Linked DNA regions of Pelodiscus sinensis. The protein of the gene in region 3 interacts with the protein of the main gene of each other region in a pairwise test. Links are inferred from orthologs where the notes say so. Each region holds a gene or a part of one and is shown on either strand. Other genes may lie near its edges. The genes, in order: TMEM79, ERLIN1, SEC22A and surfactant protein C-like.

Region 1 (7,691 bases), on a different chromosome or scaffold from region 3:
CAGATTTTTTTCAGTAACCATGCATGGTGACACTTAAATGTTCATGTCTAATTTTGTAAGCAAGTAGTTTTTAAGCAAGCTGAAACTTGGGGGTACATTGATGAATCAAACTCCTGAAAGGGATATAGTAATCTGGGAAGGTTTAGACTGTACTCCCTTTGGAGCAGGGACTATCCCTTACTACGTGTGTGCACGCAGCTTAGCACAACAGGGTCCTGATTTCAGTGGAGGTCCCCAGAGTAACTATAATCTACTATATATTTGAGAGAGATTGTACATCTGTCCATCCATCTGTCTGTGAGTCCATTTGAAGACCTCCTCCTAAACGGTAAGAGCTAGGACCAACAAATTTGGTAAGCACCTTCCTCTGATCATAACTTAAAGCAAGATCAGGGTTTGATTTTGCCAGGACACTGGGATGTGCCTGGAATGCAATTGCTCATGAAATGGAAATCGCCATTTTCGCGATCGGGGCTTTTTTGCTCAAAACAAATCTGAGCTGTCTACACTGGCCCTTTTGCGCAAAAGCTTTGCGCAAAAGAACTTTTGCCCGAATGGGAGCAGCCTAGTATTTCCGCAGGAAGCACTGATTTCAGACAGTAGGAAGTCAGTGTTCTTGCAGAAATTCAAGCGGCCAGTGTAGACAGCTGGCAAGTTTTTCCTTCGGAGGAAAACCAAAAAGATTAGGGGGCTACAGCACATGACCTATGAGGAGAGACTGATGGATTTGGGTTTGTTTAGAGTGCAGAAGACTTACAATTTACAGTGGGGGAGCTCTCGGTTGGATATTAGGAAAAACTATTTCACTAGGAGGGTGGTGAAGTACTGGAATGAGTTACCTAGGGAGGGGGTGGAATCTCCATCCCTAGAGGTTTTTAAGTCTCGGCTTGGCAAAGCCCTGGCTGGGATGATTGAGTTGGGATTGGTCCTGGCTTGGGCAGAGGGCTGGACTTGATGACCTCCTGAGGTGTCTTTCAGCTCTAGGATTCTATGTGCTTCTCACCTGACCCCAAGCTGCTGTACTGAGAGAGGACTGGGATTGTCCTCTCTCCTGAGTGAAGACTGCATGCTGAACCCCTCATCCCCCACCCCAGAGCTTTAAATGAAGAAAAGAGTTAAGGACTCGAGCAACGCCAGGTAGATCTTCTAGTTCATAATGTAATCAGTCCCTAGGAAATCCACTTTGTATTGTAAGCCACACAAGCCTTCTAAAGTTCAGGGTAGATCAGTGCTAGGAGATGGGACCCAAGGGAGCAGAATTCAAACATATGTTTAAAATATGTTAACAGGCTGAATCAATGGGCATTCCACGTCCTAAGTAAAGTTCAGTTATCCACCCATTGGGCAGTGCTGTGATGGGATGGAGTGAAAGAAGCTAAATTTGGAATTTCTTTTCTGGAGTATTTAATTGCATACATTAATTTTGATCATTAGATCCTAAACGTAATCTGATGATGGGTTTTGGGGGGTGGCTAGGATAAACAGTAGCCACGTTAGGTCTATTCCCCCATTTCATTTCACTAAATTGCTCCACATCAAAACAAACCTTGGTGTGCTTGCTTGGCGAAGTGGCTGTGGATGTGTATTATCTGCTTCTCTCTGCCGCCAAGATCCTTGTGAGTTGTTCCAACTGAACAGAAATATTGAGAGCCCCTGGCTGGCTTCCTACGCTACGCAGATTAAGCACCCAAACTACTGTCCAATCCAGGGGTTGGTACATAGCGCAAACTAAATATTGATCTAAGATTCTGACACTGAAGTCAGCATTTATCCTGATGTCACATGTGCCTACATGCACACAGAGTTTATATTACACAACACACACCACACTTCTATATGCATACAGGCAGATCCACACGCGACAGCTCTAATGCCTGTAGCTATCACATTCACACATTTTGCTTTCAGCCTATACGGATACACACAACATACGACACACTTTTATCCACATAGAAAAACCCCCACACAGAAACCACATTTACACACCTATGCCTATTACATACACAACATATATACTTATATGTTCCCTATCCTTACACATATATGCACCAATACACACAGACACCACGTGGCACACACACACACTGCAAATGCACCAAACAGATAATACACACACAACGCATGTATATGCACACACACATCAAAGACACATGTGCAAACAATCCAGTCACACATACCCATGAACAGGAAAACACAACACACAAACCTGAATGCATAAGACAACACAACTATACACCACACTGACATCCCTTCACAACATGAGTATACGTAAGCATGTTAAATAATAAATAAATAATAATAATATATACTTTTATAAAAGGAGAAGCATCCGTCATACTCTCTGTCACAGAGAACATTTGAGAAGACTTGACAAGTTTCATGGGGAAGGCAGGACCCTAGCCAAAACTCCACCCCCTCTGCTGAGGCCCCGCCCCCACCATGGACAGGGGAACATAAGAACATGAGAACGGCTGTACTCAGTCAGACCAAAGGTCCATCTAGCCCAGTATCCTGTCTGCCGACAGTGGCCAGCACCAGGTGCCCCAGAGAGGGTGGACCGAAAACAATGATCAAGCAATTTGTCTCCTGCCATCCCTCTCCAGCCTCTGACAAACAGAGGCCAAGGACACCATTTTATCCCCTGGCTAATAGCCTTTTATGGACCTAACTTCCAAGAAATTATCCAGCTTCTCTTTAAACTCTATTATAGTCCTAGCCTTCACAGCCTCCTCTGGCAAGGAGTTCCACAGGTTGACTACACGCTGTGTGAAGAAGAACTTTCTTTTATTAGTTTTAAACCTGCTCCCCATTAATTTCATTTGGTGTCCTCTAGTTCTTCTATTTAGGGAACTAATAAATAACTTTTCTTTATCGGCCCTCTCCACACCACTCATGATTTTATAGACCTCTATCATATCCCCTCTCAGTCTCCTCTTTTCTAAACTGAAAAGTCCCAGTCTCTTTAACCTCTCCTCATATGGGACCGGTTCCAAACCCCTAATCATTTTAGTTGCCCTTTTCTGAACCCTTTCCAAAGCCAAAATACCTTTTTTGAGGTGAGGAGACCACATCTGTACACAGTATTCAAGATGTGGGCATACCATAGTTTTATACAGGGGCAGTAAGATATTCTGGGTCTTATTTTCTATCCCTTTCTTAATAATTCCTAGCATCCTACTTGCCTTTTTGACCACCACTGCACACTGTGTGGAAGTTTTCAGAGAACTGTCCACAATAACTCCAAGATCTCTTTCCTGATTTGTCATAGCCAAATTAGTCCCCACATACTGTACATATAGTTGGGGTTATTTTTCCCGATGTGCATTACTTTACACTTATCCACATTAAATTTCATTTGCCATTTTGTTGCCCAATCACTCAGTTTGGTGAGATCTTCTTGGAGTCCCTCACAGTCTGCTTCTGTCTTGACTATACTAAACAGTTTGGTATCATCTGCAAACTTTACTACCTCACTGCTTACCCCTTTCTCCAGGTCATTTATGAATAAGTTGAAAAGGATTGGTCCCAGGACTGACCCTTGGGGGACACCACTAGTTACCCCTCTCCAATCTGAAAATTTACCATTTATTCCTACCCTTTGTTTCCTGTCTTTTAACCAGTTCTCAATCAAGAAAGGACCTTCCCTCTTATCCCATGGCCATGTAATTTACACAAGAGCCTTTGGTGAGGGACCTTGTCAAAGGCTTTCTGAAAATCTAAGTATACTATACCTACCAGATCCCCCTTGTCCGCATGTTTGTCAACCCCTTCAAAGAACTGTAATAGAGTAGTAAGTCAGGATTTCCCTTTACAGAAACCATGTTGACTTTTGTCCAACAAATTATGTTCTTCTACATGCTTCACAATTTTATTCTTTACTATTGTTTCGACTAATTTGCCCGGTTCTGACGTTAGACTTACCGGTCTGTAATTGCCAGGATCGCCTCTAGAGCCCTTTTTAAATATTGGTGTCACATTGGCTACCTTCCAGTCATTAGGTATGGAAACCGATGTAAGGGATAGGTTACAAACCACAGATAACAGCTCAGCAATTTCCCATTTGAGTTCTTTTAGAACCCTTGGATGAATGCCATCCGGTCCCGGAGATTTGTTAACATTAAGTGTTTCTATTAAGTTTTTCTCTTCCCGGGAGAAGGAGGAGCAGCGCACAGAGCGCACACAGGCCCCCCACCACCACGGGGAGGGGAAGAGTGCAAGCACGTGCCCTAGCATCCCAGGAGCAGTGGGGAGGGAAGAGGCTGCACAGCCCCATCTATCCCCGTCCCCGGGAGCAGCAGGAAGGGAGGAGGCAACGTGGCTCCAGCATCCCCGGCCCTGGAGCAGTGGGAAAGGAGGGGGCCGCATTGCCCAAGCCAGATCAAGCCTCCCCACCCCCATGAACAGCGGGGGAGGGGGAAGGCCACGTGTATGTCTACCGTCGCAACGGGACGGGTAATAAAATAATAATAATAATAATACACTACTACTGCATGACTCAGACACGTATTACACAAACAAGCCTGCACAAGACATGGCTGCAGCACAGAGACATGCATACACAACACACAGGCACCACACAAACATGCACCCACCCCACATGCACAACACATGCCCACAACCTGTGGGAACAGCCTTTTCTGCCGACGGATTCAGCAGGTTGGGTGAGGCAAATCTGCCTCTGCCCCTTTAATTGTAGCCACACCTTGGCTGGCTAAACAGGTTTGAAGTCCAGGAAAAGGAAAGAAGCCTCAAACAGCGATCAAACCCCAGGACAGCCATCCGCAAAACAGCTCCGTTTCCACATGGCCCGGCTCAGCCCAGCCTGCTCTCCAAGTAAGCAGCCAAGCAGGGAAACCAGCTCTCTGCTTTGCTATGCTCATTTTCTCTTGCAGTCTGGTGGAGTGGAAGGGTTGTTCTGAAGAGGGGTACAGGGAGTTCTCTGGGGGTGGCGGGGTGTATGTGTGTGTGAGTGAGAGAGAGAAAGAGAGAGAGAGTGTCAGACTACTGCTCGGTGCCTCGGTTTCCCCATCTGCAATGTGGGGACAGTGCGCCTGCCCTCTTTCGTACGGAGATCTCTGAATGAAATGTGCTATGGAAGAAGCTAGGGACTATTCCTGGGTGTGCAAGATACAAGGCTGTCCCTACTGATAGGCAAAACACGCACCACAAAATTTGGGCCCCCAGTTTCATGGTGTCCTCTGCAGCCGCATGCTGTGTATGGGCTCCAGCCACCTCCAGCCCCAACCCCCAGCGGCAGCAAGCAAGGCTCAGCACCCAGGCCCCACTCACCAGGCGGCAGCAAGCAGCTCTCACGGGCTGGGGGACTCGGAGCAGGGGGCAGCCGCACAGTGGGCGGCTGGAGAGACGAGGCGCTTCCCCCGTGAACGTGCTGCTTCTCTTTGGCCAAATGCGCGTCCACCCGCTGCTCCTCTGGAGTCTCCTGGCCTGCGCCTCCCTCCCGGCCCTGCTCCCGCTTGTCAGCTCCACCATCACTACAGTAAATGGCGTCCGGTCCGGGAGAGGTGGCAACTCCTTTCCCCTCCCAGGAGGGGTACCAGTACTGGGATGCATCGAGCACCAGTACGGACAGCCCTGGCAAGAAACGTGTCAATACTTTACTTGTGGCTTCTTTGACACCCTCTCCTTCCACCGCTAACGCTGTGGCAGAAGGCATCGCAAGTGGCTCTTAATCTCCCCCGTATTGAGCCCCACATGGACACGCTCCTATGTCTCTTGAAAAGCAGCAGGGCTAGATCCTCCGCGGGGGTAGCTCCCAGACACCGGCTGGGAATCTGGCTCCCCAGGGATCCCTGACGGGTGCACAGAGTTCAACATTGGGGTGAATAAACTAGCTCTCCTCCTTGGCAGATCTCAGCCAATCCAGGAGGGGCTGCCAACATTTCCCGGCTTTGCCCCCATGCGTAACACGACAGGGGCCGTGTCGCCTCCCAGTGCCTATTCTCTGCCAGCCTGGGGGACATCATTTCAAGAAAGATGTGGAGAAATTGGAAAGGGTACAGAGAAGAGCGACAAGAATGATTAAAGGTCTAGAGAACATGACCTATGAAGCCAGGCTTCATGAACTGGGCTTGTTTAGTTTGGAAAAAAGAAGATTAAGGGGGGACATGATAGCGGTTTTCAAATATCTAAAAGGGTGTCACAAGGAGGAAGGAGAAAATTTGTTCCTCTTGGTTTCTGAGGACAGGACAAGGAGTAATGGGCTTAAAGTGCAGCAGGGGAGGTTTAGATTGGACATTAGGAAAAAATTCCTAACTGTCAGGGTGGTCAAACACTGGAATAAATTGCCAAGGGAGGTGGTGGAATCTCCCTCTCTGGAGATATTTAAGAACAGGTTAGATAGACATCTGTCAGGGATGGTGTAGACGGAGCTTGGTCCTGCCTTGAGGGCGGGGGGCTGGACTCGATGACCTCTCGAGGTCCCTTCCAGTCCTATGATTCTATGATTGTCTCCTCTCCTATGGGCTAGCCTACTTCAATCTCCTTTCAGTTGCTGGGATTGGTGTGCGGGTGGTATCGGTGGCCCGTGAGATACAGGTCAGACGAGAAGATCTGGTAGGGGTCCCTTCTGGCCTGCACCTCTCTGACTCAGTGGTATTTTAATTATTGGTCTGCTGCCTGCAGTTGAGAGGGGCCTGCCTCCCAGCTCTTGCAAATCAGCATTCAAGCCACTCCCTCTAAGGCTGGAGAGATTTGCACGGTGTGTGTGCAGCTCAGGGACGCACTAAACATTTTTGCTCCTCCTCAGTTTAATAAATGTCCCTCCAGGTAAGCTCATGGCTATCGGCAAGTATTTACCTGCCTGATGAAGCAAAGGGCCCTGTTAAACTGGATGGGCTTTGCCAGAACTTCTGAAAATCAAGCCCTTCTCTTTTAACTACCATCCAGGTTCCAGAGCCCCAAAATTTGCATCTCTATTCCCAACATTCAGGGATCTTTATGTTCAACCAATAAGGGGCCAGAGCATAAATGCAGATTCCAATTCAGAAGTGTTTTGGATCCAAGATTTAGGTTCCAAGAAGGGATGTTAAAGACTAGTCGACTAATCCACTAGCCAATAAGCATTTGCTTATCGGATAGTCTTTTGACTAGTCGACTAATTGATTTCTCTGTCCCCCTTGCTGCTTCTATGAGATAGAGGCAGAAAAGCAGAGGGGAGGAAGGGGTACTTCAAAGTGGCAAGTGTTTCACCCCAAGGCAGTGTTTCAAAGGAGCAGCAGCTGCACAGATGATCTGTGGATCAGCTGTGCGGCGGCGGCCACTTTAAAATGCCATTTCTGGCATTTCAAAGGGGCAGCTGTTGTGGAGCCCAGGTCCAGCTGGGCACTCCCAGCTGACTCCAGGCTCCCCGCTGCATTTCCCCACAACCCGGGATTAGCTGGGGAGATCCCGGGTTCTGGAGAAATTCCGTGCAGAGCCCGGGATCAGCTGGACAGTCCCCAGTTGACCCTGGGTTCCACTGCCCCTTTGAAATGCAGGGAGGTGGCATTTCAAAGGGGCAGTGGAGCCCAGGGTTAACTGGGGACTCCCCAGCTGATCCCAGGCTCCGCGCAGCACTTACGCAGAACCTTGCACTTCCCACGTCCCCCGCTGACCCCGGGATCCATGGCTTTGAAATACACAAGAGCCCTCGCAGGCCGCAGGGGACCCTTGTGCATTTCAAAGCAGGCACC
Region 2 (7,531 bases), on a different chromosome or scaffold from region 3:
AGTGATTTGGGGTGTGCAACCCAAGCTCTTTAACGGGATTTGATTTTTTTTTTTTTCTTTCAGAGGGCAGGTCCTCATACTTTCTGAAAATCATGCTCTTTTAAAATGTCTTACTTGAAAATCTTGATTCTTGCCTGTCTCTCTCCATTACTCTGTCTATAAGGATAAATTGCTGTAACACATTTCAAAACCAGTTAGCCACAAAGCAACAAGTTCACCTCACTATTCAGTACTTAAGTTTGGTAAGTGAGGTGAACTTGTTGCTTCATGGCTAACTGGTTTTGAAATGTGTTACAGCAATTTATCCTTATAGAAAGAGTAATGGCAACAAAAAAGTGAAGAAAACTATACATTTCACATCCCCCACAAAGTAACCAGTAGTACACTAAGTGAGCGTCCATTCCCTTGCCTGCTGGTGCAGTCATTTACACACGTGCAAGGTGAGTGTACATTTTGCGCTGGTGTGAGTGACCAAGGATACAATACAATGGCAGTTCTCAAACTGTGGGTCAGTACCCCAATGTGGGTGTCAAATCCATTTTAATGGAGTCACCCTGACTGGCTTACACTTGCTAGGGCCTGGGGCTGAAGCCAAAGCCTGAGGGTATCCATGCTGTGTAGCTGGGCTCAGGTTACAGGTCCCCTGCCTGGGGCTTTGGCTCCCCACCTAAGCCAGCAGAGCTCAAGCAAGCTCAGACTTGGATCTCCCTCCCTGGGGTCATGTAGTAATATGGGTCAGAAGGGGTCATGGTACAATGACATTTGAGAGCCTCTGCAATGGGAAATTGGGCTCACTGGTGAACTAAGCACAAAAAGGCATATTTCATCTAGTGGCAAACTGAATTCTGATCAGTGAGATTAAAACAAGCTCTCGAAGGAAAATATATCTAAGTGTCTTCTGGGTCTGTGCTGCTTCATACACCAGAGATCACTACATTGGTTTTGTCCATTCTCAGTGTAGCCTCAAGCCCCTCCCACCTTTAAGTTACTCAGTGCAATTTCTGCTTGGTGCCATCCTCCACAAGCTTTCTTAAGTTAGAAATAAGGGGTGTGCAGACATTTTGCTATTCACCAGTAAGGTTTCCATCCATTAGTCTGCGCTTCTTGCATTTGATGTGTCTCATAGCAGAAAAAGTCTGCATGTGTATGTTGATCCAAAATTTGACATCTTATTGCAATGCAGTACTGGAGAACTAGACTATGGGTATTCAACCAAAGTTCTCATGTGCTTTTTCTCTTTAGCTGGTTAATTTCATCTTCATCCAGGGCACTAACATGAATTAATTACTTCTCAAACTTCCTTTTATGAACTCCAGTCCTTTGATATACTACTTCACACTTTCTCAGATGAAATTCAAATAGATTTGAGAACAATAAGAGGAAGGACTTCAGATCGCTGAGAAGAAAAGCAGTTCTCAAAACTCCCTGCTGGTGTAAACAGCACTTGTATGTGAAATGATGGATCATAGTCATTTCCTTGATCAGTGTGTTTCATGGGGGGAAGGGAGGGGCTTTTTCCAAATGTGGCAAGTGTGTGTCACATGAAGTGTCACATGCAGGTAACGGAGCTGACATTAACTAAAGGTGTAACATGAATTTTCTGACACTAGCATTTAGTATGAGCAAGCAGTGTTTTTTTCCCCCCCTTGCAATGTCTCATTCAACACCTTCAGGTGACCAGTTATGATAAAAGCTAAAATCCCATTTTTATTTTCTGACTTTGCGTGCATTTGAAATTTCTGAGCAAGAAACCCTTTGATTTCTGGTAGAAGTGCCAGGAAGAGGTCCAGTACTTCACCACAGGGTAACCACTGCACTTCAGTGTGCATGACAAGATCTTCATATTCTGTTTCAATTTGTTCCATCAGTTCCACAAACTGATGGTGATGCAGGGAGCAAGCATGAACTAAGTTAATAATCTGTATCACTTTGTCCATTACAGCTTTCAGTGTGTCTCCCTTGTTAAGTTTAGCATAGAGCATCTCTTGGTGTATTATGCAATGCACATTGCATATGTCAGGTACACAAGATTTCAACAAAGCCATGGCATTTTGCTGTCATGGAGGAGCGCCTATCTGTTGAAACTGATACCTTTGATATACCTTTTTTGGAACCAAAAGAATTGTAACTTGTACTCTCTTAAAATCAGTAACTGTCAGAGAAAATGCTGAGCCTTGTGCTCTCCCATTTATTCCCAAGAAATCTAAGAATTCTTCTGTCGTGTTCAACACAATGAATGCGTGTGCAGAGCTGAGTAATGTTATTAATATCTTTGCATTCATGCAGGGCTATCCTGATAGCCACACTTGAACATACAGTTATGAAAAACTAGTCTTCCTGATGATTTGACTTCATTTCTGTAAATATTGTAAACAATAAAATTTTAGTAATAGCGGTTTAGAGTCATTTTTGTTAGGTAGATTCTGGGGATTTCCCCATCCCAGGCTGCACCATCTTGTGGTAAAGGATTAAGATTATGCCTAGGATTCCACGCTTCAAGAATGGCATTTCTTGTCTCCGATCCTTCCTGGTCAGCAGTGATCATTTAGAGATACCTGTATTGCTTTGGAGACACTCACCTCTTCAAGTGGAATATCTACCATTCCTTTCCCCGGTAAGCCCAGGAATTCAGACTTAGGCAGCGTCTCATGGCTTGTGCTATAGGCCTCTCCTGATCTTGACCAGGCAGACCCCCCGTCTACATTGGTGGAAGTATTGAACATACCACCCAGCTGTACTGCCTCTCAGATGGGGGGAGCCAAAGGTAGAATATATTCCTGATTGAGTTCCTTGAGTATCACTACTTTACTTAACAAATAAAAGATAGAGGGGGGACTTGATTACAGTAAGTTAATATCCAAGTGGGGAACATTTTAATAATGGGCTTTCCAATTTAGTGGAGAGAGATGTAATAGGACCCAGTGGTAGTAAACTAAAGCTAGTCAGACTGGAAACAAGCTGTACATTTTTAACTAAGAAATTAACCAGTGGAATGACTTTGAGATCATAACCGATTTTTCCATCATTGGCTGTTTTTCGTAAGATCCATGCTCCAGGAATTACTCTGGAAGAGCACCTGGCCTGCAATAGGCAGTCTAAGGAGATGGCCATAAAGGTCCCTTCTGACCATGGAATACGAATTCAGGTTATCCCCTTGGCTGTTTGCTTTTATTGCTGAAAGATCTAAGGATCAGGCAGTTTCAACCCAGAATATTTCTGGGTGGATGTCAGGTTGTATGAAGTTAGGTTAGGAGATGGTCAATTTACAGTTACCCAGAAACAATAGGGACAGAGCCTTGTTTATAGGTTATTCCAACAGCTGATAATTGTAGGGATGCTATTTGTTTGTGAATATACATTCCTCTAATTATTGTGGAGGTGTCATGTGCTCACTTGGTTGGGACTGTATTAAAATACCTATTTAACTAGACTTGCAGTAGTGCCCTCTGCTGTGTAATAGACTCCCTGTGAGACCTTGGTTGGGGCTCCAGTACTGGTAAATCCAGACTTTGACAAGCCCTTTATGGTGTTTACCCATGCCTCTGGTGGCTGGGTGTGATGCTAATGCAGGTGGACAAAAAAAGGAAGAGATGCCCTATTGTGTACTTGAGCAAGAGGTTGCTGCCTTGCAAACAGAACTGTGTACTCATAGTGAAGGAATGCCTGTCTAGGGTGTGGGCTCTTAGAAAACTGCAGCCATATCTATTTGGGTGGCATTTCAAGGTGTACACGGACCACTCTCCCCTGACCAAATGAAAGGGCGAATACCAAGCTGCTGCTATGGAGTCTGCTCCTGCAGAATCATGACACAGAGGTGGTCCATGTTAAGGGGAGTGCTAATGTCATAGCCAATGCTTTATCACAGAGCAGGGGCCCCGAACTTCCCCAGGCCACTGGCTCAGTGCCCCTGCTCCGTTTGGTCTCGAAGGGAGAAGAGATGCGACAAAGTGGGGGACTGTGTTTGCTATGTTATTGTTATCTCTACTACTATGTTATGTTATCTCTATTACTGGGTAGTAACCCAGTGCATGTGCCTTAGTTTCCCTAGGCACTTCACCAGGAGTGAGATGCTGATGGGAATTTCAGTGTCGGTCTCCTGCAGGTACACAATGGATGATGCTTTCTGTACCCTGAGCCTCGGTGGGGGTGTCCTGTAAGCAGGACTAAGGCTGCAGAAGGGCTGGAGCAGGCTTTGGGGTGTTTTAAGTGGGGGGGCAGAGACGGGGCTCTGTTCTGCCTGCTGGCTGGCGGTCAGTGCTGGCTGCAGATGGGGGTTTGGGGCCCCCCCCACACACTGACACCACCCAGTGCCCCCCCCATTCAGCCTGGTTCCCCCTTGTGACACTGCACAATGCTACTCTGGCCCTGAACCCTGCCCAGCGCCGAGCCCCGCCCCCATACGTCACACACACCCCTCTGCTGAGCCCCGCCCCGCTACACCGCCCGTCCCCGGGTCGGATTCGGCCAGGGAGCGGTGCTGCACGACGCGGTCCGGGACGAGAGGTATTTTGCCCTCGCTGCTTTACCGTCCCAGGGGGCGCTGTGATTCTGTTCGGTGATTGGCTGGGGGAGGCGGAAGTAGCCGGGCGTGGCTGCGCATGCGTGGGAGTGATGTATTCGGTGGCTCGTGAGGGGCGGCGCTGAGCAGGTACTGGGGGCGCAGCGGAGACCTCCCCTTCCCCCTCCCCCTCCCCCTCCTCCTCCCGTCACGCCGGCTGGGGGGGGGCCCTCGCTGCGGCCCGGGGCGCTGCCCTCAGACTCCCCCTCCCCCCCCCCGAGCCGGGGAATGCGGCGGGGCGCGGGCCTGGTGCTCCCACAGGTCTCGTGGCGAGACTCCCGGCTGCGCGCGCGCGTGGGGAGTGTGGGGGGAGGGGCCCGCTTGTTCCGCGCGTGGGGAGTGTGTGTGGGGGGGAGGGGCCCGCTTGTTCCGCGCGTGGGGAAGTGTCTGTGTGTGGGGGTGACGGGAGCCGCAGTCCGTGCTCCTGGCTGCCAAGTCAGCGCTTAGGAAGCTGCAGCGGTGTCTCCTTGGGACACTTGATTTTGGTGGGGAGTCTGGCGGCGGGAGAGTGCCTGCCTGTTACTAGTAGGAGCCTTAATGTCTGCAAGGTGAACGGGAAATGGTCTGTTGGCGCTTGCTGAGAGGCGGTTAGTTATTACACCAGTTTCTTGATATCCTCCTAGATTAGTCGTGGGCTTGGTGGACACAGACCCCTTCTGCCCTGTCCCTTAGTCACGGTGGGTTTGGACTCTCTTACCCAGTGAATAATTCCGATGCTGTTCACACTTCTGAGCGTCCGTCTGCAGGGAGACTTACCCAGAAACTTGCTAACTTGATTCTGCTGCCCTTGGCAATTTCTGAGCAGCAGCTGCAGACGCCTTAATGCTTCTTTGTCTGCAGAAACAGGAAGACAAGACTCTGGATTATACCTGGCTTGTCTTTGCAATCTTGGCCACTAGAAATGTCACTTTTTCAAACCAAGGGAAAGCACAGACTCTGCAGGAATAAACGACTAATTTCTCCCTTGCCTGCCCTACACACTCACAAGTGGGAAGCTTTGGTTCTCAGCCATTTCTTATAGGGGCCCTTGGATCTCATATCTCTTTCCTGATTTGTACTAAGCTAGTCATGACTGTAGCCTTTAGTTGGGAAAGAGTGACTAGCTGGACACAGATTGTTCTAGGAAGTGTGTAGCTTGGTCCAGGTGAAGGATGTTTAATCACCTGGGCTGAATAAGGGACATGGAGAAATCTGCTCTGCACTTGGGCAACTGTGGGCACCAAAGGGAAAGTTTATTTTCTTATCCTGCTAGAATCTACGTGCTGGAAAACTTAGTTTTGGTTAGGGACTCTTACTACATTTAAAAGGCAGAACTGCAATTCTGCTGCACCTCTGCCTCCCCTCCCCGCCTCTCACACCAGCTGCTGCCTCTTCCCCCTCCCCTGATAGAGGCAGCAAGGGGGGTGAAAATGCGAGTAATCGACAACTCTCTTACATCTCTAGTTTGGGTTCCGTGAAATGACTATTTAGAAGTACATTGCCTTGCTGGCCTCATTCAGATTGCACGTTTAGACTCTTGCCTATTCCTTCCTGCCAAGAGCTTGCGCTGTATTTCCTGATCAAAGTCCAGTTTTTTTTCCAAAGTAAACAAGGCCAAATCTTAGCCAGTTTGTGCCTGTCTGAGAGAAGGGTAGATTGTGCCTACTATATTTTTTACAATGGCAAAAAAAGAACAGTCCCATAACACAAAAGCTCAAGGGAGTTTTCTCTAATACAGGCAGTCCCCGACTTACGTCGGATCCGCACTTACGAACGGGGCTTTCTCGCCCTGGAGGTCGAGGTGGCGGATTGCTACCTGCGAGCTCCGGGGCGAGAAAGCCCTGTTCATAAGCTGCTCCGGTGCCCCTGGTCTGCTGGAGACCGTCTCCAGCAGACCAGGGGCACCGGGCGGGTTCCCCGCGCTTCTGAGGCTTTGTCAGCCAACGGTCTGTCCCTTAAGACCGGCTGAAGTTCTTTTAAATTGTGCCTGGTTCTGTTACAGCAACTTAAGGAGTCAGGTTAAAACTTAAACAGTTACAGGTTTATTAAAGAAACTTATAAATCATATGGTTGCAATGGCTATTGTTCTATTTCTTAACTACTAGCAAAATATAGATCTTAAAAATGGTTACAAAGAAGATAAAGATAGAAAAATAGAAATAATGGTACCAAGTAACAGCTTACTCTTTCTATGTGTACACTTAAGACAGAGGACCACATCCAGGTACAATTTTTACCCCCTTCTGTGCCTCTCAACTCCAGCATGTCAGGCCAGGGCCGGTCCCTCAATTCCTAGGAAAGATGAAAATACGAGGTGGGCGTCCCCATAGAACCTCGGGAGGTCAAACACCTAACCTGACCAGCAGGTAGAGGGTAGAATGACACTCAAAGTGAGTGTGTGCTGGGCCCATCTTTTATACTCATGGGGTCACGTATTTCTCTTTCTTATCTGTCATGCCAAATGGGGCTGGTCTGTCTTTTGTGAGACCAGTTCTTACAAGGGAGTTGTGAACTTAATTTACACTTGTAAGGCTGTGTCCAGACTCAGGGTTTTTTTCGGGAAAAGTAGCCTTTTTCCGAAAAAACTTCACCTGCGTCTAGACTGCAGCCGCGTTCTTTCGAAATTAAATCGAAAGAACGCGGCTTTTCTTTCGACGGCGGTAAACCTCATTTCACGAGGAAGAACGCCTTCTTTCGAAAGTGCTTCTTTTGAAAGAAGGCGTTCTTGAATGTAAATAGGGCTTCTTCGAAAGAGAGCATCCAGACTCACTGGGTGCTTTCTTTCGAAAAAGCAGCTTGCTCTTTCGAAAGTTCCGCGTGCAGTCTAGACGCTCTCTTTCGAAAGAGGCTTGCAGTCTAGACATAGCCTAAGAGAGAGAACTAAATTGGAATTACTGGGGATTCTTTTCTCAGTGGGAAATTCCTCTTCCAGGGACTGTGTGTGTGTTCGAATCAACATAGGTGCCAGCCGGTGGCAGTCTCGCATATCCTGAT
Region 3 (7,680 bases):
TCTTACATGTTCATCAAAAATTGCTCCCCATGTTTTATTTCTACAAATCCAGGATTAATGGCACAGAAAATAAAAATACACTAACTTATCTCATTGCAGACTGAGATGCGGTGTGTGAAGATTATTTTTTAGAGACTTATTTTTTCCTTTTATCCTTAATAAGGATGTTATTGTGTAGATGACTACACAATTAACTGATAAACCTGGGCTTACCGGTTAATCTTGTTTACTACACGCATTTCTCCCCCCTGACCTTGCTGCCTCTGTATCAGAGGCAGCAAATGGTGGGGGCGGGGTGAAGCTGGAGTCGGTTCCCGGAAGGAACTAGCTTAAAAGCTGGCTCCCCAGGATCACTGGAGCCGCCTGTCCCCACCTCCCATGAGACAGAGCAGCGCAGAGGGTGTGTGGGGTGGGGGGGAAAGAAGGCTGGAGCCAATACGCATGGAGAGCCGGCTTTCAAGCCATCTCCCTGCATATACAGAATCCTTTGGACCTGCCTCCCCCTTCCCTTGCTGCCTCTGTAGTGGGAGTGGGGAGGAGCCGGTGCTGGGGGGAGCCGACTTAAAAGATGGTTCCCTCCAGTACCAGCTCCACAGTGTTGCTGCCCTCCTCCCCTGCGTAGGTGGGGTTGGGGCGGGGAGATTGCCGCAAAGCAGCCTCTGTCTGCAGTGGGCTCGAGCTCCCCGCAGTGGGCCTGAGTTTCCCATGGACAGAGGCTGCTTCACAGCAGCCTCCACTTCCCCCCATGCTGCTGCCTCTGTCCATGGGGAGCTCCCACGGACAGGAGCTGCTGCCTCTGCACTGCGGCCTCTGTATCAGAGGCATTAGCACGGGGAGGCAGGCAGCCAGTCTGCGCTGGGGAGCTGGTTTTTAAACTGGTTCCCCTTGCAGACCAGCTTCCACCTGCCATCCCATGCCGCTGCCTCTGATAGAGAGGGAGCAGCTTGGGTAATAGGGGCTCCCCAGGAGTGGAGCCAGGAGCACACTGGCTGCTGGCTCACCTCTGACTATCGAATAGTCATTAACCGCTAAAGATTCATGTGGTTACATGACTATTGAATTGCATGATAGCTAACATCCCTATTATTTTACTGTATTTAATTTTGTAAAGAATTATGGGATATAGTTTATAGGAAAGACATCATAGGCCAAATTCTCTAGTCTTACCAAACTGTGCTTGATGCATGGTTGAGGAGTGGGAACTCAAAGGAATAGAACCAGTCTCCTGCATAAATTAACCATTCACACCTGCTTGTCCATAGTTCCAATGGATATTACTCTATCACCCTAGGATCACTAGAAAAATTTAAAAAACAACAAATGCTTCTGCAGCACCTTAGACACTAACAAAAATGCAGATAATATCATGAGCTTTCGTGAGCACATCCCACTTCTTCATTGGAGTTATCCAGTCACCTGCCTACACTGAGGCCTGGAGATGATGGGGATGTTCAGTTGTTGCATTGGCTTTATCATATCTTGGGAATTCCCAGGTATCAAGTTAAAATGTATTTCCAGCTGCTGTGTGTGCTATTGGAGTAGGGCTGGAGTCACAGAAAAAAAGCTGTGTCTACACTGGCGTGATCTCACGCAAAAGCGGCCACTCTTGCACAGAAACTTGCTGCCTGTCTATACTGATCACATATTCTTGTGCAAGTAAACTGACGTTCTAATGTATAAAATCAGGGCTTCTTGCGCGAGAACTCTGATGCTCCTGCTCAGGAATAAGCCCTCCTGCGCAAGAGCTCTTCCAGAAGAGGCCAGTGTAGACAGGCAACATGAATTTCTTGCACAAGAAAGCCCTATGGTTAAAATGGCCATCAGAGCTTTCTTGCGGAAGAGAGTGTCTACACTGGCATGGATGCTCTTATGCAAAAGCACACGCCAGTGTGGACGCTCTCTTCTGGAAGAGTTTTCGCAGAAGAACTCTTGCGCAAAAGAGTTTTTGTGTGAGAATGCGCCAGTGTAGACGTAGCCAAACGTGGCTTGAAGATACCTCCCCTGCTTTCTTCCCACATTGAGTGCAACTCAGGTGACCCAGAGAATCTGACATATGATGCATTGCTTATCATTTGTATTCTAGAAGTCATTGCACTATTAAGTCCAATTGTATAGTTACATAATAAAAGAGAGAAATTAAAAGGTGTTAGCAATGGAGAGCGGAATTAGGGTAACAGCACATGAAATAAAGTTGTACTGAAAAGAAGGAAACACGGACAAGTAGAAGAGTATTATAAGAAGCAAACTCTCTTGTCACACTACAGAAAGTAGATTTACCTAAACATGACTCTGTCAGAGACTGGTAATGGACTGTGGATGGTTTTCAAATCAAACTCAGTTGCTTTGTGACTGCATTACCAGCTGATTGTGTGTTGGTCTGTGCGAATAGCGTTGTGTTGTATCAGGCCAGTCCTTGGTGCCTGCTACTGCTGCCGATGAGTTGCGGTTGTTGGTTGACTTGGGAGAGGATAATGATTATGTATACTGCGTTAAACATCACCAGGCACTTGAAACATTGCAAAAAGGATGGGCTTGGTCACAAGCACCTGAGGGAGCGTTAGAAACCCAAAAATTCCATGGGGAAGCCAACAGCTATGGGCATTTGTGGCAACTTCCCCCCCCCCCCCATCACTAACTCCATTAACATCACAAATTGCAGCCAACATGAACCATACCTAAGCTGACCGTACATCCCAATTTTTACGGGACTGTCCTGAATTTAAATACTATGTCCCAGTGCCCCATCAAATAGTGAAATGTCCTGGAAAGCCCTGTTGGACATTTCACTACTTGATGAGGACACTGGCATGGTGCAGCAGCCTCCTCCCCCTCCAAAGGGTGTATAGGGCAGCCAGGACACCTTCCCCGCTCTATTCCTCCCCCGACAGGAATGCCTCTACCACACAGGGGTCTGGCCCAGTGGCACCACCTCCTTCTCCTCTGGGCTGCCTTGGAGCCCCAGCAGGAGCTGCGTGGAGTCCAGCTGGGGCGCTATGGGGCCGGGTGCACTTGGGCTCGGCAGGTGCCAGAACTGGAGATGGGGCTTCCTGGGGTGCTATTTTCAGTATCGCAGTCCACGTATCCGTGGGCAGCCCCAGCTCAAGTCAAGTGGCAGCCGCACGAGGTGCATTCCAGCCGGGGCAGCCTCACTGGAACGTCCCTTGACTCTAGTAGGAGCTGGGCAGCCTGTGGGGACCCAAACTGCAGGACTAAAAATAGTAACATAGTCCCAGCAAGCAGTCCCACCCCAGAAGCAGCTGGGACCAGGGCTTCTGGGGCCAGACTGCAGGATCCAGCCCCACAAACTGCTTTCTGGAAGGCAGAAGGTGAGGAACGGGGCAGAGGGAGAACTTAGGGGAAGGGGGATGAGGAGAGGAAGGGGCTTGTGCTGAGGGGAGAGTAGGGGGCCAAGGCAGGAGAAGAAAGGGCAAGGCACTAAGGGGCAGGATGGAGGAGACACAAATGCCAGGGGGCCAAGAGGAGACAATGAGGAAAAGGCAGGAGGGGATAGAGGAGGGAAAGTGTCAGTGGGGATGGGAGAAGGGAGGGGTCAGGATGATGCCAGGAAAGGAAAGGGAGGAACAATGGGGGCAAGAGGGAGGAAGAGGAGTGGGGAGGAATGGGTGCCCGGAGACGAGGCATTGAAAGAAGGGGTGGGTATGAGGAAGCCAGGAGATGGAGCCAGGCATGTGTGAGGGCACAGAGGAACATGAGGGGAACTGGAGAAGAGGATAGTGAGGGGGTGGGCACCAGAGAGAAAGAGGGCAAGGAAGGCAGGGGCAGTGAGGGAAGGAGAGGGCACCAAGAAGGTGCAGGTGCCCGGGGAATGTGGGGATGAAGCAGAAGGGCAGATACGTGGAGGGGAGGGATGGGCACCAGAGGACTGAGCAGGTGGGTAGAAGGAGGTCTTAGGAGAGGGGATGGGGAGGGGTAGCTAGAGATGATCAGAGTGGGGTTAGAAGAGGAGTGGACACAGGGGGAAGAGAAGAGCTCGTGCATGGGAAGCGGGCAGTTTCCAGGAGGCCTGAGGGGAGTGAGAAGGGGTGGAGCCAGGACAACAGAGGAAGGTGAGGGGTGCGGGGCAGCAGGCACCAGGGGAGCAGTTGGAGCGAGGGACGGGTAGGAGACATGGCAGCAGAGGGAAAAGGGAGAGGTTCATAAGATATGTGTTAGTAACTTGGGTCCCACAGTGGCACACATCTGAACAAGTGCACATGAACTGGTGCACAAGATAAAATTCACTCCGCTCATGGGAAGAACATCTCAGAGGGAACACTCCCCCCCCCCCCCCAGTAAATGCAATTGCAGGATGGGAGGGGAGGGGGAGTCCTGTGGGGGCAAAGCTCATCCCTATTGGCAGAGTTCTTAGAGCGGTCACATGACAACCTTTACTTCTGGACACGTGTCCTGCTTGACCTCCAAGGGTGGAACGTCCTGTGGCAGGGGGCGTGGCTAAGGGGCCGGGGGCGTGGCTAACGTGTCCCTAACTTTGGTTCAGGAAATAGGGTCACTCCAACCACAGCGAAAGAAAAATGGCGGGGCCGCCGCCCCTGCCTCAGCCCTACACAGCAATGGCGGCCCAGCCCCCTTCTCTCCCCAGGGTCATGGCGGCCTCACCTAGCCACCCCCCCCTCCCCATCACCACAAAGCAACGGCCTCTCCACCTCTCCTCCCCCCCGCAGAGCGCCGTCCGGATGACTGCGCAGCGTCACGTGATCTCCCCTTGCCAAGCAGTTGGTGGCGGGCCACGTAGATGGTTCCCAGCATGCCTTGCGGCAAGGGGACGTGAGCCCTGCGGCCGATGCCGCGGCGCCGGTGAGGCAGGTAGTTCGACCCGCCCTGCTAGGCCTCCCTGAGCAGTTGCCTAGCAACGGACCCAGGCCCGCCTGGCCCCCCCCGGCCGGCCCGCAGGCGGCTCAGGTGCGGACGGGGGCCGGGAGCGGCGGCCTCCGAGGGCAGGGGTGGGGCCCGGCGCAGGTGGAGGGAGCGGGGGCTTCCCCCGGGGGCAGGCGGGAGGCTGGGGCAGAGCTCGCCGCAGGCCCTCCCCGGGGGCGCGTCGGGGGCAGCCGTAGTGGCAGAGCCGGGGCTGTAGGTTAAGCGGCAGGGGCCGGCGCAGCGCCAGCCTCGTGCGACCCACCTCAGGCGAGGGCGGCGCTGGCCAGAGCAGCCCTTGTCCCCCTCCCCTCCAGCAACTCCCCCTGGCCCTTGGGTCACTTTGCTTAAGTGTCGTCCCGCAGAGCCCCTGCCCGCCGCCGGCCGCGCCAGGATGTTAAGGGTCATCACGGTGACCGTTTTAAACAACTGTTTCCATCCCTATTCAGCATGGGGATGGGTCCCTCTCCCAGTGCCCAGGCACCAGAGTGTGGGGTGGAGGGGAGGGGAGGGCTGTTGCAGTGGAGGCGTTATTCCACATGTCCACTTGCCTTTCAGAGAGAGGGAGGCATGAACCCGCCTAGGGCCTCTTTCCCATAGTTTAAGCATAAGGTAGGCGCCTTGGCAAATGCTGCTCTCCAGAACAGCTATGACTTCTGTTTTCTCCCCACTTCTTACCTGGGCACGACACAGGTGTGTGTTGGATAGCTCCTGTAGCCAGTGTGTCTTAAATGAAGCTATTGAGGAGGACACAGTGCCCCTCTCCCATGAGTTACCCATAACACCTCAAGATCAGGTTAAGGTAATGTACTTTACCTGGTACTAGTTTACTATGGAAACTAGTACTGAACTTGGTTGCCTGCTTATTAAACATAATTTTGCAAGTGAAGCTCATTAGAACACAGTTACAGGATTTTCGAGGGCTATTAATAGACTTCTGCATCAACACCAAGGTTTTGGTGCAAACCTTCGAAGCATAAGTGCTCTGAGCCCTTGTAACCATAGAGATTTTGTCCCCATTCCTATGGTACTGGTGCAATCAGTTAAAATGCTCACTGAAGGTTCCTTGGTACAAACAGGATGAAGTTGGCGACAGGGTATTCTAAGTGGGGGTTCCTTAATTTTGGTGTGCATTTTTAGTCTGCCAGACGTTAGATAATTGTTAACCACTTGGGAATTCTACAAAACCCGTATCTTTTTCTCTGGTGTCCGAGAAGGGGCATATGGGCTGAGAGCGAGGGTTTAGGTTTATTTTATTGTCCTGGTTGTATTTGATGGTGTCAAGGTGGAAGGGGTAGCCCTTTATTTGTTGTATTTGTTGTGTAATGTATTTTAATTAATAAAATGGGCATCCAAAGTGGTACAATATAAAGCTTTTACGTAGCTAAGAAAATAAACTAGGACTGAAACTTATGAAACAGTTAAAGTTAATACACGTAACATGACACAAGCCCAGAAAAAGCAGGAAAATGAGAAATTAAATCACCTTACGGTACATCATAAGTGCACACCTTAATGTTATCATAAGTACTGTACTTAAATCTGTCTTCTGAATCAGCCCTTCAACATGCAATATGCATATCGCAAAGCCACACTGTTATTTGTGAATGTTTAATGTAATCAGTTTGTGTGTGGGGAAGGGGTAATTTGGAAAATGAGGTGCTGGAAGTCTAGCATCTGTTGGAGAGTAGAGACTACCCATTGCATCAAATCTACTTCACAAAAATTATCAAAAAATTAATTGTAAGATAGGCAATGTGGAGTATTTTTAAAAGTGGTGCTGCCACAAAGAATACTTGTCAACAGGGCAATTTAAAAAAATTGTATTAAGAATTATGCAAAGGAATCAAACAAAAATGCCTAGAAAATAGTCTATAAACTAATACTGTCACATTTCAAATTGAAATGCTATCTTTATAGAGAGGAAAAAAACAGGAATATGTACTGAACATACGTCTAAAGATGGAGTTGTAGCCATGTGCTTCCATATACACAATACACAATTACCAGTTACCTCTTCTCAATAAGAAGGATCTGGGATTAGGTCATGGACACTGCAATTGCACATTCCCACTTCCCAGGGTCCCGCAATGCAAACAGCAGCTTTAAAATGAGAATAGTGGAGTACTGTCCTTTTCACAAATTTGTGAAAGGTGAGAGAGTGTCTTGTATGGTTTAAAAAAGGAGAGGTTCCTTGAACTTAGAATAGTCTAAAGTAGAGAGTATTAGGGGAAAAATTACTAGATATTCAAGGAATTAGTTGCAAATTAATTGCTAAACTTTTGGATAGATAGATAGAAATGACACTTAAAGATAATGTTACTTTATACAAATATTTCTTGCTCACATTTTCCTATGTGTACATCAGCATTCCCTGTAAGATGAGTGCTTAGGTGGCCATCCTGGTGAGACTCAAGTGTCTCCCAGTTGATTAGCAGAGAGCCAACAGCCAGCAGCATGTATTTCTACTGGTGGTGCATACCTGCACATGCCTCAATGCACATAACAAAATCTATTCTGCACATAGAGGGGAAAACTTAGAGGGAAGATTGGTGCACATATGTACATGTGCAAAAAAACCTGCTTGCAATGGAGACTTTTTTTTTTTGTTGGCTGAGTAAAATGTCCCTTGGTTTTTAATTCTCATCATGCTGTTATAGAAAGAGTTAGTAGATTTTTATTTAGTGGTAAATGTTTATGATAGTTTTACAAGACTGAATTACATGCAGTAAAAATGTGTGTTCATTAACTTTTCTACATTCATATGTGATTTTCTTTTAAGTTAAATGACAACTTTTTAGGCAGTCT
Region 4 (7,283 bases), on a different chromosome or scaffold from region 3:
CCCCAGGCCCTAGTGAGGGGGCTGGGAGGGCAGCAGAGCCAGCGGGTGCAGGAAGGGGGGGCCCCTGCAGACAAGAAGGGGGCCAGCAGGTGTCCAGGGGAGCTGCTTCCGGGGCCCCTATGTGCACACACATCCCCCTGCCCCCCCCCCCTGCCCTAGGACTTGAACGGGTCAAGCCAGGGACAAGGGGGGGGGAGCAGAAATGGGGTTTGCAGCTGGGCCCAGCCCATCTCTATTCGAGGTCAGGATGGGAGCTTGGCAGGGGGCGGGGGCAGGCCTGATGCATGTCCTGTGCTCACACTCTCACACACACACTCACACTCACACACAGATGCACACTCACACACATTCACACACACAAACACAGATGAACACTCACACGCACATGCACACTCACACACACTCTCATACATGCACGCACACACACACATACTCACACCAACACACACAGATGCACACTCACACGTACACACTCACTCACACACGCGTGCCCACACACACAGATGCACACACAGAGACGCACACTCATGCACACACACACAGAGATGCACACACACACACAACGCACCTGCACGTGCCATGCAGCAGATGCACACCCCAGACAAATAGGGGCACCGCCCCACACACATCGAACACACCCCGAGCACAAGCCGCCCTTCCCCACCCTGGCGATGGAAAAAAAGGTCTGTCCCAGCAGGGCCCTGCAGAGATCCAGCAGGGACGGGCGCAGAACAGAGGAGACTGCATCTCGTTCTGCCCGGGTTCCACCCCGGCCAGGGAAGGGGAGACCCACGGGCGCAGGGAGGGGCGCTGCGAGGTCTCTGGGGGGTGGCCCGATGCCACGGCAAAGGGCCCAGTCAGGACCTAGTGCTTAGTGAGAATCAGCTGTGATGAACACAGTGGAAGGAAAGGGCTGCCTAGGGCTGTGCTGGGGAGCTGCCCAGGAGGTGGCAACACAGGGAGAAAAGTGTTTGTGTCTCCCTCTCCCTACACACACGCACATGCTTACTGCCCTTGCACCAGAACACGCACACGCTTACTGCCCTTGCACCAGCATGCATACACACACTTACTGCTCTTGCACCAGAACACGCACACGCTTACTGCCCTTGCACCAGCATGCATACACACACTTACTGCTCTTGCACCAGAACACGCACACGCTTACTGCTCTTGCACCAGCATGCATACACACACTTACTGCTCTTGCACCAGAACACGCACACGCTTACTGCTCTTGCACCAGCATGCACACACATGCTTACTGCCCTTTCACTAGCATGCACACACACCCACTTACTGCCCTTGCACCAGCACGCACACACACACTGCTCTTGCACCAGCATACACACACTTCCATTTGTGTATACACTGAATTCGTTTGCACAACGCACACATTGCACCTCTGTGCACGTCCCGGATGATCAAAGACTCCCAGGGTGCACACGATGTGCGGGCATACAACCCCCGTCCCCGTGCTCACGCAGCCAGACGTGCACCGCCACACACACTGCCACAGGCCACGCTCTAAAAGAAAACGACCCCCACCCCGAGGGGCAGAGACCCCCAACAAGGCCGTGCAGGCACGGTGATCTCATGCAAACTAGCAGCTCCAGGATAGTCCCGACAACCTGCATGCACCCAGCGGGTTATTACTGAACACACATCACATAGATACCCCCTGGAATCCCCCCGTCTGTGTTAGCCAACCCACAACCACCCCATCCTCTTGCACCCCCAGAGAATGTGCTGCCTTTTGGGGAACCCCCAAGAGCATCAAGGACCCTCAGCCCGCAGATACCCCCCCCGCTTTCTCCCTCACCCCAGCAGAGGCTCCCCTAACCCCCCGTATCCCACCCGCGATCCCCCCTTGCCCCGCTCCCGGCGGCTCGGCCGCTACTCACAGGGAGATGACGTCCGGGGGCAGGTTCCTGGGCACCGCCTTGGCGTCGATGCAGAAGGCAGTGTCCCGGGTGCAGGAGCAGCTGGGGGGACACAGGGGCAGCTTGGGGGCTCGCTTGGAGCCCGCCGGCAGCCAGAGGTAGGCCAGGCTCAGCAGGAGGAAGGCAAGGACTCGCCCCCGCTGCATCACTTTGCCTGGCTGCAGCTCAGCCATCGCCCTGACCTGGCCTCCCCCACCTCCAGGAGAAGAACCCCCCCGGACCGTTGCTTCAGTTCTGCCCTGGACCCCTCCCAGCGCCCCTGGCCTGGCTGTCAAGGCCGGGAGCTGCAGCCAAGAGCCGGAGCAATCCGGGGAGCGAGGATGCTACAGTCCATCTTGCTGCTCTGCAGAGCACCACACTCAGCTGCCAGAGGGGGGGTGGAGCAGGAGTGTTTTGCTGCCGAGTGATTCGTCTAAGTTCTGTCGCTGCTGGGGATCTCGTCGGTGCACGGGGAGGGCGTGAGCCCATTGTGCACACTAGGGTGTGCACGAGTGTGAGCTGCCTGCACTCCCGCGCTTGCAGGGGTGCACGTGCTGCACGTGCCAGTGTGTGGGTGTGTGTCCCAGGTGTGAATTCTGCGCGCATGTATGAACGCATACGTGCGTCTCTCTGTGCGTGCGAAAAGTGAAAAGACACGTGCAAGAAGGCTGTGGTGAATGTTTGTAGCGTGTTCGTGGCAATGTGGTGTGTACACAAATATAGGATGGTGTGGTTCCTTCGCAGGTGCGGGGGTCTACCTGATGGCGCACGCCCGGATTGTGTCTGGATGGGACTGCGAGCTTCTGTGCGTTTGTGTGTGCTTGCACGAGCCTGAGTTTGCACATTCTGTGGGTGCTTGTGTGCATGTTCTGTTGGTGCGTGTGTGGACACACGCACGGAGGCCGGAGCACTTGTGTGCGTGAACACGTGTGCACGTGCACGAGTGTGCACTGAGTGCTCTTGTGCGTATCCGGAGTGCAGGGTAGGGCAGTTACCACACAGCCTCGTCCGCTGGCTTCTGGCCCTCGCCAACTCACCCTCCCCATCACGCCCCCCCTCCACGCACACTGAGACCTGCACCTGCAGCAGGATCCTCCCCGTGAAGCAGGGTCTCCCTGCCTGCCCATTTCCTTCAACCTCTGCCCCGCAGCATTCGACCTACCGCCGATCCCCTCCCCCATCGCCCTGGCAGCCACCTCCCCTGCCCCCCCCCCCCCCCCCCGTCCCACACGTCCTTGCGGAGCCTCCTGGATAATTCATGACGAGCGGCGAGCGGCACCAGCCAGCAGTGGCTCCGGTCCCAGGCACGGCCGTCTCCTGGCTCCACAGAGGCAGTCTCAGCTCTGCAGCTGGCGCCCCGGCCAGGGCACTGACAACACACAAACAAGGGGCTGGGGGGCCGGGCAGAGGCAGGGCAGGGGAGGAAGTGGGGCTGGAACTCCTTTTGGGGTGGGGGTGCTGAGCTGCACCCCGCCCCCACCACCCCGGCTGAGAACCGGCTGCCAACTCTCCCGGACCGGATTCCACCGCTGCAAACGGCGTCCGGTCCAGGAGAGCTGGCGACGCTCACGCCCCAGGCTGGGGGCAGCTGCAGAGCCCTGGGCCGACGGCGGGACCCCGGAGCTGGTGGGGCCAGTGGGCAGTGGGACCCCGAGGCCCGACAAAGCCCGTGGGGCTGGTGGAGGCAGGACCCCGAGGCCCGGCAGAGCCCGTGGGGCTGGTGGAGGCAGGACCCCGAGGCCCGGCAGAGCCCGTGGGGCTCGGGGAGGCAGGACCCCGAGGCCCGGCAGAGCCCGTGGGGCTCGGGGAGGCAGGACTCCGAGGCCCGACAGAGCCCGTGGGGCTCGGGCAGGCAGGACTCCGAGGCCCGGCAGAGCCCATGGGGCTGGTGGAGGCAGGACCCCGAGGCCCGGCAGAGCCCGTGGGGCTCGGGCAGGCAGGACTCCGAGGCCCGGCAGAGCCCATGGGGCTGGTGGAGGCAGGACCCCGAGGCCCGGCAGAGCCCGTGGGGCTCGGGCAGGCAGGACTCCGAGGCCCGGCAGAGCCCGTGGGGCTGGTGGAGGCAGGACCCCGAGGCCCGGCAGAGTCCGTGGAGCCAGTCCAAGTGCCCCAGCGCCCCCCCCCCCCCCCCGCGAGGACCAGGCGCTCCCGGCGAGGGCTCTCGCCAAAGGCCTTTGATGTGCGGCTCTTGCTTTGAACCTCTGAAGCACCTTCCGGTGCCAGAGGGGCTCAGAGGCGCGGGGCTCCGAGCCAAGCCTGGCTCTGGCCACATTGGCGGGCCGGAGACTCCCGCCAGCCCCTCGGAGCCGGGGGGACTCTGGCCTCGCAACCCCTGCGGTTGCGGCTCTCGGGCGCTCAAAGGCCCACGTGCCCGGAGACAAGAGTCCTTGGAGCCTCTCACCGGCCACGGGCCCGGGGCTTATCGGAGACCTGCCTCTGAAGGGCCCCGGGAAACAGGTTCACAAACAAATCCGAAGGGAATTAAACACTTGATGTGGAGCCGGGAGGGCCTGGGGAACGCCAGTGTCCCACCGCTCCTCCGCCCGCCTGCCCTCTGCTCCTCCACTAGCTCAAGCCCCTTATATAAGCCCTTCTCCAGCCACGACGGAGCACGGCGGGATCCACAGAACAAGATGGATGTGAGCACCAAGGAGGCGCTGATAGAGGCCCCGCCGGTACGGCAATGAACACAGGCTGGGCGGTTTTGCGTTTGTACAGCACCTAGCGCAACGGGGTGCAGGGCCACAACCGGGGCTCCAAAATGCTACGTTAATATAAGTAATAACGACTGGGGAGGGGGGTCCTTTCTCTCCAGCATACACCCCTCCCCCCTCCCCCGGTTCTGCTTGCTGTCAGCGTTTTTCTCCGTTCCCACAGGACTACACCGCCACCCCGAGGGTCCCCGGCTTCGCTTCTCGCCTCAAGAAACTCTTGATCGTGGTGGTGGTGGTCGTGGTCATCGTGGTGGTGGTGCTGGGCTTCCTCCTCATGGGGCTGCGTTTGTCCGAGAAGCACACGGAGACTGTAAGTGGGGCGTTAAAACACGGGTCCCCTCCCGCCAGGCGCCCGCGCAGGGGGAGGGGGGGCTGCTCGGAGCCAGGCCTGGTGCGGAGGGGCAATGCGCCAATGCGCCAGAAGCAGATGCCGCCGGGCACAGCGGGCGGCCACCGCATGGGGCTGGTGCAGCCACGCCTGGAGCTCAGGCAGCGGGGGAAATGCGCCCGAGCTAAGACGCCGGAGCAGCCGGGAGAAGAGGCTGCTCCAGCGCCTCCGTGGGAGCCGGTGGGGGTGTGGACAAGCAGAGGGAACCCCAGAGGAGGCTGGGCCGTTGGAGGACTAGGGTCTGTGGTCAAAGCAATGACCGACCTCAGCAAAATTTCTGGGGTTCCTTGGAACCTCAGGAGGTCACCTCACCCCCTGCCCAAAGCAGGACTAACCCCGATTCAACCATCCCAACCGGGGCTTTGTCCAGCCGGGCCTCAGACACCTCCCGTCTCTTTGCCGGCATGGACTCAGCAGGGGCGAAGGGAAACGGCGCATCTTCAGAGGCGCGTCCTCAGGCAGGCCCTGCCTTCCCAAAGCTGCCCCAGTGCCCCGGCGACCCAGGAGGGCTGGGGCAGCTCGGCTCCCCCGCTGCCTGGGAGCGCTGGGCGGTAGCACGGCATCCCCGGCCCTCCATGTGGCCAGGAAGGATCGGGCTAGGTTTGCCAGATGGTTTAACAAAAAATATCAAAACCCTCCCCTCCGCCAAAAAAAACAACAACCAACCACTGGGAAAAAATTCTTCTGAGGAAAAAAAAAGGGGGAGACCAAAGTTGTTAAGCAAAAAAAAAAAAAAGGTCACTGCAGCTTTAAATTCCTGCCCTTCTCGCTCCCCTGCCCTCACAAACGCCTTTACATGTCCAGTATTCTCTGGTTTTTTTTTTACCAGACAGAAGGCCAAAATACCGAACTGTCCAGGTGAAAACCAGACACCTGGCAACCTTAGATCGGGCTGGGGGTGGGAGGGATTGGGGGGGGGGGATGCTGAAGGGGCGGGGCCTCAGGCAGGAGGGGCGGGGCCTCAGGAAGAAAGGGCGGGGCTGGGGCTTGCCTTCCCCAGCTGGGTCTTCATCTGGCGCCTATGGTATAAGCAATGAACGGCTCTGGCTCTGGCTCCCCGCCGCACACACCTCACCCCGGGGGTGTCCTTGTCCCCTAGGTGTTGCGAATGACTATCCAGAGCCTGGACGGGGAAGGGTCCCCGCAGCAGCTCTCCATACGCGGGAAAGAAAAGACCGGCACTTTCTACGTCACGGCAGGGATCAACTCGTCAGCCACCGTGGTCTACGACTACCGCCACGTAAGCAGGGCCAACGGGGCAAAGCTGGGTGAGGGCTCCGGGGAGCGTCCCCGGCTCGGCTCAGACCTCAGGCAGGCTGGGACCCGGCTGGCCGCAGGCTGGAATCGCTGGAGGCGACCTCGCATGAGCGGTAGAGGAGCCGGGGTTACTTTCCGCCGGGCCCACATCGCCGTCCCAGAGGTACCCAGAGGTCCCAGTGCTGCACCCCAGAGACGAGCAGCGTAAACCCCAAGATCTGCGCGTGCCCCAGGTTTGGGGTGTTCCGAGTCCCACCGTGGGTTTTGGTCTTGCAAATGCAATCTCCAAGGAGGCTTGGATCCCGTTTCCAGCGACCCAGCCCCCCACGCTGCGGACAGGGACACATCGGCCCGGCCCTTCTCCAGCGGAGGGGGCAGGAGGCTGCCGGGCTGAGCAGAGGGGACGGAGAGGGTCACAGTGGGGGAAACAGAAGGGGCCGGTTTGCAGGGTGATTTGGCTCCCGGGGATCTGCCAGGGTTTAACGTCACCCTCTGCTCCGCCTGCAAACAGCTGCTGATTGGCTACCGATCCTGGCCGGGCCGGGCCTGCTACCTCCGCCGGATGGACCCGGAGAACATTCCAGGCCTGGATGCCATTGCCAAAGCCTTTCAGCACCGCCAGGTGAGCGGCCGGGGCCAAAGGGGGCAGAGGAGAGCGCGGGGAAGGGCCGTGAGACGTTTGTGAGAGATGAAAACCCGGCGGAGGCCGCTCAGAGTCCCTGGGAGACCGTCGCACCGGCGGGCTGAGCTCCCCCGGGAATCAGTCCTAGAGACAAACCCAGGAAGGAAGCAACCGGGGAGCATTTCCCGGCGCAGAGCTGGCATTGCCTGCAGTGGCTGCGGCCGGGAGCCCGCGGGGGCCGCTGTCTACCCCTCGCCTCCCTGCTTTCACTGCTAGGCGATGCTGCCTCTCTCCTGTGCCAGATGGATCAATGTATTGGCAAGGAAGGCTCATCTAATGTTTGAGCAAGGGGAGTGTTGCTAATGAGCATTATTCCCTCT

What was found.
Region 1: the proteins of SEC22A (region 3) and TMEM79 interact in binary tests that used the Homo sapiens proteins (3 or more experiments, as listed by UniProt). The two-hybrid records come from large-scale screens. The link is inferred for Pelodiscus sinensis from reciprocal best matches to the Homo sapiens genes SEC22A and TMEM79.
Region 2: the proteins of SEC22A (region 3) and ERLIN1 interact in binary tests that used the Homo sapiens proteins (3 or more experiments, as listed by UniProt). The two-hybrid records come from large-scale screens. The link is inferred for Pelodiscus sinensis from reciprocal best matches to the Homo sapiens genes SEC22A and ERLIN1.
Region 4: the proteins of SEC22A (region 3) and surfactant protein C-like interact in binary tests that used the Homo sapiens proteins (3 or more experiments, as listed by UniProt). The two-hybrid records come from large-scale screens. The link is inferred for Pelodiscus sinensis from reciprocal best matches to the Homo sapiens genes SEC22A and SFTPC.

The regions. Positions count from the first base shown.
Region 1 is NC_134734.1:16,208,452-16,216,142, reverse strand, and holds the start of TMEM79 (transmembrane protein 79), read left to right. Parts: upstream 1-4,683; 5' UTR 4,684-4,833; intron 4,834-7,691.
Region 2 is NC_134718.1:7,017,809-7,025,339, reverse strand, and holds the start of ERLIN1 (erlin-1), read left to right. Parts: upstream 1-4,515; 5' UTR 4,516-4,648; intron 4,649-4,722; exon of another isoform or gene 4,723-4,819; intron 4,820-7,531. UniProt on the Homo sapiens protein: Component of the ERLIN1/ERLIN2 complex which mediates the endoplasmic reticulum-associated degradation (ERAD) of inositol 1,4,5-trisphosphate receptors (IP3Rs).
Region 3 is NC_134717.1:9,377,615-9,385,294, forward strand, and holds the start of SEC22A (vesicle-trafficking protein SEC22a), read left to right. Parts: upstream 1-4,672; 5' UTR 4,673-4,824; exon of another isoform or gene 4,825-4,920; intron 4,921-5,565; exon of another isoform or gene 5,566-5,674; intron 5,675-7,680. UniProt on the Homo sapiens protein: May be involved in vesicle transport between the ER and the Golgi complex.
Region 4 is NC_134738.1:11,604,153-11,611,435, reverse strand, and holds the start of surfactant protein C-like, read left to right. Parts: upstream 1-4,276; 5' UTR 4,277-4,414; coding exon 4,415-4,597; intron 4,598-4,799; coding exon 4,800-4,946; intron 4,947-6,123; coding exon 6,124-6,264; intron 6,265-6,792; coding exon 6,793-6,903; intron 6,904-7,283. Other genes in the region: LGI3 (leucine-rich repeat LGI family member 3), read right to left, coding at 1,905-2,116. UniProt on the Homo sapiens protein: Pulmonary surfactant associated proteins promote alveolar stability by lowering the surface tension at the air-liquid interface in the peripheral air spaces.